2 linked regions of the Tamandua tetradactyla genome follow. Each later gene encodes a partner of the first gene's protein in a complex. Links are inferred from orthologs where the notes say so. Each region holds a gene or a part of one and is shown in the gene's direction. Other genes may lie near its edges.

Evidence for each region. Proteins that work in one complex are often made in the same cells at the same time.
Region 2: the proteins of NUDT21 (region 1) and CPSF7 are in contact, whole or in part, in a crystal structure (PDB 3N9U), measured with the Homo sapiens proteins. The link is inferred for Tamandua tetradactyla from reciprocal best matches to the Homo sapiens genes NUDT21 and CPSF7. Residues at the interface, in NP_008937.1 of Homo sapiens: Arg68, Asn152, Glu154, Pro156, Tyr158, Tyr160, Pro162, Ala163, His164, Ile165, Thr166, Lys167; in NP_001129512.1 of Homo sapiens: Trp91, Trp92, Thr93, Thr94, Asp95, Gln96, Glu112, Lys114, Phe115, Glu117, Asn118, Arg119, Ala120, Asn121, Gly122, Gln123, Ser124.

The regions. Positions count from the first base shown.
Region 1 is NC_135342.1:50,146,581-50,153,558, reverse strand, and holds the start of NUDT21 (cleavage and polyadenylation specificity factor subunit 5), read left to right. Parts: upstream 1-3,960; 5' UTR 3,961-4,138; coding exon 4,139-4,254; intron 4,255-6,978. Other genes in the region: prolyl 3-hydroxylase OGFOD1, read right to left, coding at 2,182-2,327, 3,603-3,756. UniProt on the Homo sapiens protein: Component of the cleavage factor Im (CFIm) complex that functions as an activator of the pre-mRNA 3'-end cleavage and polyadenylation processing required for the maturation of pre-mRNA into functional mRNAs.
Region 2 is NC_135335.1:13,709,737-13,716,827, forward strand, and holds the start of CPSF7 (cleavage and polyadenylation specificity factor subunit 7), read left to right. Parts: upstream 1-4,091; 5' UTR 4,092-4,211; exon of another isoform or gene 4,212-4,284; intron 4,285-4,412; exon of another isoform or gene 4,413-4,517; intron 4,518-4,869; 5' UTR 4,870-4,924; coding exon 4,925-4,978; intron 4,979-7,091. Other genes in the region: SDHAF2 (succinate dehydrogenase assembly factor 2, mitochondrial), read right to left, coding at 2,800-2,909, 2,991-3,214, 3,952-3,987.

The DNA.
Region 1 (6,978 bases):
TGGAGTTTCTGAGCAGAGAAATGAAGTGATCCATTTATATTAACTGAGATAAAATTCATATAACATAAAGTTTGCCATTTTAATTTAGTGGTTTTTAGTATATTCAAAATGTATGCAATTATTACCACTATTTACTTGAAGAATATTTTCATTATTCCCCCAACTCTAGATGACCACCAACCTACTTTTCTTCTCCACAGATACGTCTATTTTGTGTGTTTCATATAAATGGTATCATATTATTTGTAACTTTTTGTGTTTGGCTTCTTTCTCTTAGCTAAAGTTTTCAAAGTTCATCCATGTTGTAGAGAATGCATCAGTACTTCATTCCTTTTGATGGCTGAGAAATAGTACATTGCATGAATATACCATATTATTTACTCATTTATCAACTGAAGAACATTTGGGTTGTTTCTACTTTTTGGCTATTATGAATAATACTTCTATGAATATTCTTGTCCAAATTTTTGTGTGAACATGTTTTCAATTCTCGTGGGCCTGTTTTCATTTCAAAACAAGATGACAACTGTAGCTCTGTAGTAGGCAAGGATAGAAGCAAGGAGACTGGTTAATACACTAGTAGAATAATCCTAGTGAGGGACCAAGATAGCTTCGGCCATGTTTTAGGTTGGCATCGGATAAGAAATGTTTTTTTCTGGACATAATTTGAAGGAAGAGCCAGCAGAATTTTCTAAAAGATGGGATAAGAGATGTGAAAAAGGAATCAAGGATGACCTCAAAGATTCTGGCTTTGGCTTGAGCAACTGGGAAGATTAGTGGCCATTAACTGAAATGGGGAAAACAGCAGGTGGGGCAGATTTAGGAGGAGAAGATCAGGAGTTTTGGATTTAAGTGTGAGATATTTATTAGACATTAAAGAGGAGAGGCAAAGCCATGAGACACCATGGGAGTCTGTGGCCCAAGGGCTATGTTTTATAGTACTGCATCATTAAGAAGTCAGATATGAGAAGAACACCTACAAAAGGAAACTGAAGGAATGGGCAATGAGGCAGAAGGAAAGCCAAACATAGCATCCTGCAAGTAGTGTCTTCAGGAGATAGAAGTGATAAGTTGCTCAAATGGAGCTGATGGGTCAAGTAAGACAAGGATTGAAACTGATAATTGGCTAATGTGTAGGGTCTGAATGGCCTTGACAAGTGGAGTTTCAATGGATTGGCAGAAGTGAAAGCCTGACTAAAGCAGGCTTAATAGAGAATGAGAGGAGACAATACAGGCAACTTTTATAAGAAGCTTTACTGTCAAGGGGAGCAAAAAGAATATAGGGTATTAACAGAAGAGGAAAGTTAGGTCAAAAGCTTTTTTCCCTTTAAAACGAGAACAGCTTTTTTTTGTATGTTAAAGTGAATGATTCAGAAGAGAAAGAAAAACTGATGTTTTATAGATGAGTTTCCTCATCTATAAAACAGGGATAGTAATGTATATCGTTTATAGGACTGTTATGAGGATTAAATGAATTAATAAATACAAAGCATTTAGCATGGTACTTAGTAAGACTTGTTTTTAAAAATATAGAATTTGGGCAACTCCTAATGACAAATTTGGTGAGGGGGGATGGAAGATGTCATAGACCCAATTACCAAATCATGCCATAACTCAAGCAAAGAAAAAGAGGTTCAAGCAAGGTTTAAGGAAACAGGTTTTATGTTTACTGTCTTAGGATGGAGTCTAAAAGCAAGTACAGAAAAATTTATTCCCAGCAGAGCAGAGATTCACCACATACCCATGTGGATTCAGGGTCATGAATAGTACTTCCCACCCCTCTCCTTTTTTTTTGGTAGGGTAGGAGTATATAGGCTGGGAATCGAACCCTGTCTCCCACATGGCAGGCAAGCATTCTACCACTGAACCACTAGCAAGTGCTATTTAACCCCTTCATTTATAATGTACTTAATTATTGGATTAATGTATTTCTTGACTATCTCTGTTTCTATTACCTCTATTATTTTAGTTTTAACCTTACAAGGCAGGAACTATCAAACTGCACATCACACAGTTATACACTCAGTACGTTTATATTAAATGGAGGAATGTTTTTGGCAATGTTAAGGTGAGGACCCTCAAAGGCAAACCCAATCTAAAATCCCTAGTCTAAAGATATAGGATGATTTTATAGATAATGAATTTCTTAGGTGGGAAAGCTAATGCACTGGGCATAAATACCTGCTGGAACTTATATAAATCATTATACTTTTCATGGAAGTCCAAGTTCAAAAGTTCCTTCTGAAGCCCTTCCAAGAAGTCTTGGCTTTGGATGAAGTTTGGGATCACGCAGTGAAGAAAGGGGTCCTTGTCCATTACAATGGCTTCTGTTGAACGAAAACATATCTATGGCTTTTTGTCCTTTTGTATTTTTGCCTCTAGAAGCATCGCAGAGAGAATAAAAAAGTGATGGTCATGACTTTTGGGGAACCTAGTATCTAAAATCTAAGATTTGTGGGAAGAAATTATAAGCTCTTTCCTTTTTTTTCTTTATCTAGTCAATGATACTTTTTAAAGATTCTGGGCTTAAAATATTGCTCCTTAATGATTATATGTGTTGTCACTAAAACTAAGGTCCTGCTCTTTTTAAAATATTTTGCTCAATGATTGTCCATTGAATTGAATGTATTTTAGATAAAATTCATAATTCATTTCCCCCCAAAACTTAAGTGAGAATAGTAAATAAAAAATGATAGTAGCAATGTTGGCTGGCAATTTCTTTTCCATCTTGTTCCCGGACCACACAACCCCACACCCCTCAGCCCCTAGAAGTACAGGAGACAGAGATGTCACTGAGTGTGCAGAGCTTGCACGTTAAATACTCAGCTATCCCATTTTACGTGCATCCAGAGCACCCGGGACTCACTTTAAAGCACTTTACAACTAAAACAAAAATCACGGCAGACTACAGAAGGGAAGGATGAGGCATTAAGCAGAACTTTTTGTTCTATAACGTGACATTTGAACTGAGGCAGGTATTGTTCAGTGTAGTTCCTTCCCTTGATCAACACACGTTTATTCTCATAGATCATATCGTCACACTATAGGCATGGAAAAGCGAGTAAACTCAGATCCAGCTCTCAGGCAACTCACAACAAATGCCCTGGTTAAATTATCATGGGACGAGCTTACCCTGGAGGAAATATATACGCCTCTCAAACACTTATTCAAAAATTTACTGGTCCTTAATCATGGAAATACTTATTGATAAATGCATGCATTTAGTAGTTCATCAACCCCATTCGACAACTTTCCGAGATAAACAGCATTAAAAGTTAAATAAATTACCCAACTACGTGCCATCAGTGGGGAGGATTTTAACTCTGGAAACTCTCATACCAGAATTCAACTACGAATTTGCATGCCTTCTACTTTTCGGCCTACGTTTCTTTCTTCTCTTCTGAAGTGTCTAAAGTCAAACCGATCTTTGGAATAAAAGGGGGCTGCAGGCGAGGCAGAAGAATAGAAGGTGGCCATAGTCATCCTCCCCCTAACAGCCTCTTCCCTTGAGGCCGCGCTGCCCAGACTCGGCTCGAGTTCCTGGACTTTTCAGCGGCTCCAGGCCCTTTCGCTGCGGCTCCTCCCTCACAGCACCCGATTACCGTGAACTAAAGGTGCCCTGCGGCTCCAGGCCTCAGCCACCTGCCTCTTCAAGGCTTCCTCCATGACGGCGTCCGAAAACTCTGCCACCACCTCTTTCTTTCCCTTTTTCCCCGCCCGCCCAGGGCCGAGTTCCGCGGGCCGTTTTCCACTCATCTCCACACGGTGGGTACACCTACTCTACACACAGCAGGCGACTCTTCCCTACGGAGACTACAAATCCCAGAACGCCCTCTTTCCCGTGTTCCCAAGCGCCATCCGTAGAAGGAGGCGGGACCTATTCTTGCTATGCCAATGGGAGCGCCAGATATTGCGGCCGTCACGTCAGCGATTGGCCCAATGGCGCTCTGCCTGGGCTCTCTACTTCCCGCCACCAGAGGCTCCGGATGTACTTCCGGTGTGCTTAAGCCTTCTCTTGCGCTCTCACGTTAATGGCGGGTGGCGGCTGCTGAGGGGACCCAGATAATCGCTACCTGCACGGGGAAAGTCTTCCCTTCCTCCCCCTTTCTGCTCTCAGGCAGTGTCCGTCCTCGCCAGCATGTCGGTGGTGCCGCCCAATCGCTCGCAGACCGGCTGGCCCCGGGGGGTCAACCAGTTCGGCAACAAGTACATCCAGCAGACCAAGCCCCTCACGCTGGAGCGCACCATCAACCTGTAAGTGCGGCCTGGTCTTTACGCACGGTCTTCGCGGGTATCCCCCTCTTTGTGAGTGTCCCTAAAGACTCCAGTTGTGTCCTTCCGGCGCGCCCCCGGCGGGTCGGCTGGCTCCACGCCTTCCCACCCCCACTGCTGCTCGCGAGTGCGCGCCTTCTTCGCTCCTACAGGCCTACCCTTCTTGCTCTATTTGAGAGTGCTTTTCCAAAAAGAAGGCTCGTTCTCATCCCTTTCTATTCAGTTATATGTTTTTTTTGCTTCGGTAAGGTAAATAAAACATTATAGGTAAAATCGAACTTTGCTTTTAACTCTTCCTCCCGAGGGATATCCAACTGGTATATTTATCCTTCCGGTGCAATGCTTATGTTTTCACAGCACGTGAATTATATTGTTTTGGGTGTTTGATATGAGCATTACTCTGTTGCATCGTTTTTGCAATTTTTGCTTTTCTCCAACGGTAAGCTTTCGAGATCTAGCTATAATGCGTAGGTCTGTTTTTTTCCTAACTGCTGTATAGTATTTCAGCTTATTAATACATCGCATTTCGTTTCATTCATTTCATTCGGCTGCTCATGGCTTCTCTGCCTCAGCGACCGCATCGAGGCACACAGTAGGCCCAGCTTGGGAGGGTCGATGCTGTTGAGGTGGGGTTTTCAGACAGTGGAGGGGACCAGGCAAGATATAGGGACCTGGCAGAGAGCCACCCACTGTGGGCTGTGTTTTACTTCAACACCTTTTTCTGTTTAAGCACTTAAAGCCATTATGTTTCAAGGTCACTCAAAAGCAATCTTGCTGTGGCAGATAGTTTGCATTTGGGGTGTGTCTTGCTCAAGAAATTGATCGTATGCTTTTTTATTTTCGTCATTCTGAGCCTTTGTTTTTAAGGCAGTGTGATTCTAACCCTAATGGAAGAGTGTGTTCAGTTTATACTGGTTACTGTTTAAAAAGTAAAGGGATTTACTGATGTTGGTGTTCATTGTTTTTTATTCAAATAAATGAACTTTCACCCCTTAAAACCAAAAACAATTTGAAATTGAAAAGATGGCTATGATTGCTATTTTGTTTGCGAAAGTGTGTGCTGGTTTGGAAATTAAGATAATAAAGCTGAAATGTTTATAACAGTAGCTGTAATTAGCCGATAATTATGTATTGACTCTGCACCTGTTACATGTATGTAGCATTTAAATTTCATATCACTTTTTAAAAATTATCATAATGGAAAAGGCACAAATGTTCTTTTAAAAATGTTAAAGCACAGCCCTGGATTGTATTCAGTAAATAATGAGAACTGGGACCCACGTGTTTCCCTTCATTTTCTTTGAGGAATGAGTCAATTTGTTTCAAGCCATGGTAGAATTTTTAACACTTTAGCTTGGAAAGATGGTTGTGTAATTTTTAAAAGATTAAAATATTTTAATCTTTGCTGCATTAAGGTTATGAGTTGATAGATTTACAGCACTTTCCCTCTCCTATATAGAGCATTCAGAAACTGTCATCTTGCTATGAGCTCAGTTCACCTGGATGAGTAATGATTTATTAATTTGAAAACAAGGCGCCCCCCATATCCCCCACTGCCCATATAATTTCTTTTGGTAGATGTTACATGAATGCCTGTTTTCTCCCAGACACTGCATGGTGCTGGGTGTAAAGTGGTGAGGAAGTAAGATGACCTTCTTTAGGAGAAGCTCACAGTATGATGGGGATAGTATGTATGTGATTGGGCTGACATTCTGGTTTCACAGCTGAAAATTCTGAATTTTCATCTTGTTGACATCTCCTTACTAATGCTGGAGCTGGGTCTTGAATGGAGATGTGTTATGGCTATCCTTAACCCTTTCTAATTTCTGGTTGTGAGAACTAAATGTTAATATATAAAAATATAGTCTTAAACAATTGGCTGTTACGTAGTGCTGTATGAAATAGCAGCAGTTACTGAACCCACGGTGATGACAGTCTTATTCAGGGTTGGGCTATTGGGGAAGTTCTTGAAGCACACTGGAAATAGTAAAATTTAGTTGATATTTAAAACTGCTTTCTTTATGCCTAGAATTTGGCTTCTGGAATTAATTTTTTTTTTTTTTTTAGTTTTGGCAACATGACTTGTTCTTTCTAGAAAAACTGAGTGATTAGGTAAGCAGAAGTTGACTTTAAGGTCAAGACCTTTAGATAGAAGGTCTATCTATCAAGATAGCTTGAGCAAGTGTGGCCAAATAATTCTTCATAACTTAAAATTTGGTGTAAGGCTTATAATCAAGGAATTATAAGGTGTTTAGGCTTGTATTGCATATTATTATGTGATAAAATATGAATGGTATTTTCCACTATTTTTAAGTAAAATTTGAACTTTACTAGACAATGTGAAAACTGTATCCAACACTATGAGCCATACTTTAAATTTTTGATAAAGGAAGATAGGATATTCAGATTAAATATGATAGACAGAAGATAGAAATGAGAAGGGAAGAATAAAAATACGAAATAGAATAAATGTAGAAAACTTTAAAGCTAAAAAGGTTTAGGATGGGGAAAGGAATTTAGAAAAGTTGATCTGGGGAGAAAGGATTGTGGTGCCAGAAAAGTCTGAGGATATATGACTGGGAGAAATAGGAAAGAACTTGGGAGGTGCTGATGCAAAGTGCTGGCTCAGTTTATTAAAAAGCATACAGATTTACCATTGTCATCCATAATTAATAGAATTTCTGATTTGATTAGTGTTTTGTTTTG
Region 2 (7,091 bases), on another chromosome or scaffold:
GTAAAACTATCGAGATGGAAAACAAATCAGTGACTATGAGACTGGGTGTGATGAAAGGAATAACTACAAAGGGGTACAAGGGAACTTTTGAGGTGAAGGTATCATTTTATTCCTTGACTTTGTTGGTAGTTGTTCAACTATAAGCATTTGCCAGATAACTGTATAGTAAAAAAAGGTGAATATCAAGATGTAATGGCGAGGCTGGAGGGAACTGCCTGAAAATGTAGAGCTGTGTTCCAGTAGCCATGTTTCTTGATGATTGTATAATGATACAGCTTTCATAATGTGACTGCGTGATTATGAAAACCTTGTGTCTGATGCTCCTTTTATCTACCTTGTCAACAGATGAGTAGAACATAAATGGAATAAAAATAAGTAACAGGAGGAACAAATGTTAAATTTAGTTTGAAATGCTAGTGATCAATGAAAGGGAGGGGTAAGGGGTATGGTATATATGAATTTTTTTCTGTTCTCTTTTTATTTCTTTTTCTGTTGTCTTTTTATTTCTTTTTCTGAATTGATGCAAATATTCTAAGAAATGATCATGATGATGAATATGCAACTATGTGATGATGTGAATTACTGATTATATATGTAGAATGGAATGATCATATGTTAAGAATGTTTGTGTTTCTTTTTTGTCATTTTTAAAAAAAATTTAAAAATTAATAAAAAATTTTTTTAAAAAGGTGGCTACTACTGTATGTAAATTACACCTCAATAAACTTGACGATAAAATGTAATATAAATATATATGTAGAACGGAATGATCAAAAGTTAGAATGTTTATGTTTGTTTTTTGGTATTAAAAAAATAAAAATAAAAAAATAACATATTCATACAAAAAAAAAGTAATATAAATATATAAATTCCTGGGCTATCGGGAAGGGGTAATGGATGCTGTCAGTCCCAAAGAGTCAAATCTTTACATCATAACCAGAAAGGTTGTCTGCTATTAACTGATTCCCTTTCTGTGGTGCCTTGAAGAACATGCAATACCTCTTCTAGTATGAGGAGTACTGTTATGATTTTCTAGACACTCTTGACAAATGGAAGGAAAGTGATTTCTTCTCATACTTAGCCAACTGTGTCCAGAAAGACAAAGTTTCAACTGTGACCCGAGCCTGATCATACAGCACAACTAATATACTCGAATTTTATGACAGTCCTCCAGAAGCCCTACTTTTCAGGAAACTATTGCCTAGAAGAGTTAAAAACACCTAATGTGCTAGCTATCCTACCAACCAACACTTTCCATTTCTTTATAGCATTCAGGTTCCTTTGTATAGGGAAACAGCCCTTCCCAAAGCATATAGACCTGGTAAGAAGGTAAATCCACATGACTGTATTTGTGTTACCTAAGCTGCAAGGTCCCTGCAAGCATCTTTCTCTAGATCCTTCTGCTTACTGCAGTGGAAGGGCTAAGAGGAAAACATATGCCTTAAACTCAACCAAATGGACTTTCTCTTCAGGGAGTTTTATCTCGGGCTGAATCATCTCATCAACTAGACCTTCTCCACAATCTTTCTAAGGAAGCTAGGGGATTATGTGAAACAAAATCCTCTTCCTACATGATTCCATATTACAGTCTGCCAACGAGAAGCAGTCATGTGAGATTTGCAAGGTGAAAGAGGTCAGGCCAATGCTCTCTGGACAGAGGTATAGACAGATAAGTGGACTGACATGAGGTTAAAGCACCTTCTGGGTAGGTCTTTGAAACCCACTTATTTTGTTCCTGCAGTCAAAGTTCCAAAATACAGGCACTTGAGATTTACAGCAACTTCTGGACCAACTCTTAAGAACTACCCACTGTTGCTGCAGGCTGAGATGGTCAATAATTATTGGTAGACCATCACTCTTCCAGACTTCCAATTGTTGTAAAAGCCTGAATTACCACTTTTCATGCTTGGAACCTGTAAATTGGCTTCTGTTTCCTGATACAAATATGAGTGGAGACATAAAAACGTGAGACCGAAGGAGCATGGCAGAAACGAATGAGCTATTATATCCATCATCCCCTTTTTCCTTGATAAGAGAACCTTCAATTTAGCTAAGCACATGGCCCCAGAATACCATATTATTTTTCCTTTATGGCTGGTGTAGCTTATGGAAAATGAGTGGAAATACAATGTACAACTTTCTGAGAAGTATCTACAAAGAAGGGGATATGCTGTTCTTTACTCTTTTCTCTTGGCTGTAATATGGACATAACTGGCAGAGCTTTAGTAGCCATCTGGAATCGTGAGGTAAAGGACACATGCTGAGGATGGAAGAACAGCAACTCAAAAGAAACCTGGACCACAAGACTTTTGGAAGCCCCTCTATGAGTTTTGGACTTCTATTATGAGAAAGCAAAATATAATTCTTTCCATCCTGTTTAGGCCACTATTGGTTTTTACTCATAACCAAAACTAATCCTAAACATGCACAACTAGAATTCATTCCCAGCAAAGGCAGTGCTAGGGGGGAAACTACTGAGGAATTCTTGCTCTGCAGAAATAGAGTTATCTAGATCCAGTCCATACCCAGCCTAGTTTTTCCTTAGCCTTCCCTTTGATGCTGTGAGTTTTCCATATACCCTTTCACCAAATTACTTTTTTGCATAAGTTAGACAGAATGAGTTTCTGCAACTTGCAAACAAGGAACCCTTGAAACTTACAAACTTTGGGAAAATTTTAAGAGTGTCTGGGATGTGTGTCCACTGCCACGAAAAAAAAAAAAAAGCCTAGGATACAATTCTGGACTTGTATCACCCAAGTCATCCTACTTCCACTTTGTGCTGCTTGTCACGCCCAGTACCTGTGGCCCAGTAGTAAATATCCCAGTCATTACTGGGCTCATTAATCAGGCGATCATAGAGGTTCAGCTGTTTTTCTGTCATTTGGTGCAGATATTCTTTAGCAAAGAGGCTAAAATGAGAAAGAGAAAGGAGTTAAAAAAAAGCTGTCTCTGGTCAAAGAGAAATGACACCAAGACTCTAATTCCCCTACCTAAGGAGAATACAGTTTTCCAACATTCCCCTCTTTCTGCTTTCATAGAGTAGGCGGGCTCTTTTGGTTTCTATGGACTCATCAGTTCGCTCCTGCCACGGAGGCAAGGGAATTTCAATCATGTCTTTTTGAGAATCTGCTGGGCTGTCACCTCTGTAGAAGCGTCTGAATGATGTCACCCTGACCAAAGGAGACACTGGGCTGCGACCTGACAGAGCAAGCATCTGAAACAAATAAATCGTAAACATCTTTATAATAAAAACGACTACCATCACTGTCACTCACTCGATACTTACTAGGTGTTAAATGCTTTAGATGTCATTTAACAGCCAAGGAAACCAAGGCTCAAAAAGGTTAAATAACTTACTCAACTTCACCCAAACAGTAACGGAAATCTAGTCTTAACCGCAAGCATCTGTTCTTAACGGGTACCCTACAGGAGATTCTCCTAGCAGAAATATTGTCTCCTTTCTTTACATTCCCTTAAAATTACTACAATTAAGGTTTGTTTTCCAGTCTCTCGCCTGCGTTAAAAGGTGAGGATACAGAAATGACATTGTCCTAACCCCTCCCCCCTAAAGGCTCTCAATCTAGAGAGTAGCACAAAACCATCAAAACACGATCAGAAATCACAACAGATATCAGAGGCTTCAGAACAGGGAGGAATCACAAGAGGCGGTACGGCTTAATTTGCCCGGGAAGTAGGTGACACCTGCATTGGGTCCCGCACCACGACTGATCATGCAACGATATCACGGAACAGGCACAAAATGGGCTCACGAAAGGTTGGAAGCGACCCGAATCTCCTGAGCTGCAGGATCGGCCTGCCCTTGGCCTGCCCTTGCCCTCGGCTCTCCAGCAGCTGAGCCTTCCCGGCGGTCTCTATGACTGCAGCACAAGACGAGACTCAGCCAACGCTGCCTCCTGCCCGGGACCCTGGAACCTTACTATTCTCTCTCACCCGCGCCAGAGTCGGGAATACCGTGACCACTGCCATTTTCCCCGAACAGCACCAGAAGCCTTCAGCCCAGCTACTTCCGGGAATGCCCGGGTAGCAGGACCCGAGGACTTCAGCGCGAGGGTCTGAGCCGGAAGACGCGTCCCTGCGAATAGCGGAAGTGGCAATGCGTGTGACGCAGGCGGCGGTGAGGGCGGGGCCTGAGGCTGAGAGCGGTTCGCGCGCTTCGGGCCTAGTCCGGACTCGCCGCCGCCATATTCCCGGTAACGGGGGCGCGCGGCCACGGGCCGGCGGGGCCGGAAGAGGGGTCGGGGCCGGCGCTGAGGCGGGGAGGGGGTCGGTTGAGCCTGGGGCGTCAGCAGTTGGAGGGCGGAGGGAGGCGCGGGGCTTTAAGGGAGGTGGCCGAGGACGCCGGGCCCGGTCTGTGGGGAGGGAGCTGGGCGGGCCTAGCCTGGTGGGCGAGGACTCGGCCCGGATGGGGAAACGAGGCGGCTGGAGGCGGTGCGGATCCGGGCGGAGCTCCCGGTCCCGCAGGGGCTCTGGTCGGGGCCACCCCGGGGCTTAGGCAGGTTCGGCGGGCCGGGGCTGAGGGCTTCGTCGTAGTCGTCCTTCGCAGCGCAGCCGGAGGGCCCTTAGCAGCTGAGGCCTCGACTTTCCCGTCGCGCCATAGACGGCTGCGACGCAGTTCGAGCCAGGCCCGAGGGTGATGGGCAGCTCGCCCCGCGAGCCCGGTGGCCTGGGAGAGCGGGGCGGGGTGGGGGGGACGGGAGGGGGGCGGCGCGAGGCCGGGGGCGGGGCGGGAGGGGGGCGAGCCTTGGCTGCCGGGATGCTGCATCTCTAGAGACGGGAGGGTGGCAACCCTCGCCCTCCTTCCAGCTCAGGACCCTCTTTCTAACTCTTACTCTTTTCTGGATATCGCAGTGTCATCTTTTTTACTTCGTCGGTTCTCTGCACTCGAGATCTTCCTTCCGAAGCCATGTCTGAAGGGGTGGACTTGATTGATATATACGCTGACGAGGAGTTTAATCAGGTAAGGAGTTATCAGGAGCATCGTGGTATTCGTCCATCAGCTAAGGAATCACTTCCAGCAAACTTGGCAGTGGTTCCAAGCAGTGCCGGGCCTTAAGGACTTACTAAGCCTGGACACTCCCATCAAGTTTAAAGTTTTTCCTCTATCAGAGACCTCTAAAACTACCTAATACCCCGCTTTATGTTCATTTGAGCCTTTAGGCTTAATTTTAAAGAGTTTGATTTAAGAGCAAATAAAAACTCAGGTTTAATTGAATGGTGAATTAACTTGTGGAACTTGCTCCCTCAGGAATCCAAAGGTGGATGTGCTTCTCCTCAGTGACTAACCACACTTAAAAATCAGAATTGTATTTGGTGCACTGTTCATGAGGATGATTAAATAATTTTGATTTCTGTTCTTTTCCATTCTCTCACACTGCAACTGGAAAATGGTGTAGTCCCACCCCTTCGAAGGGCATAGTATAAAGCATTTCATTTCAGCTCTCCGTTGTTTTAGTAGAAAGGCATAGTATAGAGCATTTCATTTTAGCTCTTCAGTAAGTAGCTTGTCTCCTTTCTTGAGAAGTCCATAGCATTTTGGTGTAATAAATTTTATTGATGAACCTTACTGTGCCTAGGGGGAAAACGGGTGAAGGTGTTGAACTTACCAGTTGAAAAGCAGATATATACCCACTCATCTATCCAAGGGTGGGTTTGTTGGTTTCTTAACAAAGAAACCAAGGTTTCTTGGTTTGAATATTGAAAAATGTTAAATATAAGTATCTTTTCTCTTAAAGGGATACTTTTAAGTACATTTTGGTTATGAAATCTTGAGTTCAAATCTCAAGAATGTTTGTAAGTCTCTGCCTAAAGTTTACTAACACCTTGCTTGGTTTATTTTCAGCACTGGACTACTTGGGCAAACTGGTCTCTCTGTGGGCATCTTCCAGTTAGTTCACATGAGAACCTGAAAAGAAGATAATAGAATACTAGGGGGGTTAGTGCCCTGGTTGGGCGCTGACTTTGATATGAGGAAATAGGAAAGGTTGATAGGTGCCATTATTTTCACTAAGTTTGCATTTTGGGGGCGGGGTGGTGGTGGATGGATTGCTGCTTTTTTTATTATTAATAATTCCAATAATACAAACCCTATTCCAAGAATTCCAGCATACCCCCGCCCCTAGATCCTCCAATTTTAACATTTGGCCACCTTTGTCATGTCATTTTCTTTACCTATTTATGTATATTTTCTGAACATTTAAGAGCAGGTTGCATGTATCATAGTCCTTGAACATTTGGTACTTCCATGTACATTTTCTGAGGACGAGGGTGTTTGTTTATATAATCACCTTAAATGAATTTATCAAGTTCAAGAAATTTATCATTTATATCATGCTTGTATTCTATATTCCAATTCTTTTTTAAGTCCCATTAATGCCCTTTTGAGCATTTTCTCCATTTTTAGGTCCTATATAGTGTCATAATTGCATTTAAATGCCGTTACCTTTTTAGTTTTTTCATTCTTTATTTTTCTTAAATTGTGGGAACATATGTAAAACATAATCTTCCAATTCCAACCTCTTTGAAGCGTACCATTCCATGGGATTAATGATCTTCACAAAGGGCAGTACCTTCACCAACCATTACTATAACTTTGTCTTCACTACAAACACAAATCCTGCACTCATTTTACAGTATCTCCCCATTGCTTCTGTCTGACACCCCTGTTAATCTGTGTACTACTTTCTGTTTCTGTGAGTTTGCATATTCTCATACTTTCTTTGTAGTTATCAATGGGATTAAATTTAACGTCCTAAATCTGTAACAGTCTCTTTTGCGTTGATACCATCTTAACTTCAATAGCATACATAAACTATGTTCCCATACTCTTCTGTCCCCTTTTTGTAGGTCTTATCACAAACTACATTCTCATATATTATGAGTACCAAAGCTTTGATTTGTCATTACATTTTTTTTTTAACGTGGGCAGGCACCGGGAATCGAACCTGGGTCCTCGGGCATGGCAGGCAAGCACTCTTACCTGCTGAGCCACCGTGGCCCGCCCCATTTGTCATTACATTTTATGCATTTGCTTTTCAATCTTGTAGAAAGAAAAAAAGTGGATTTACAAAGAT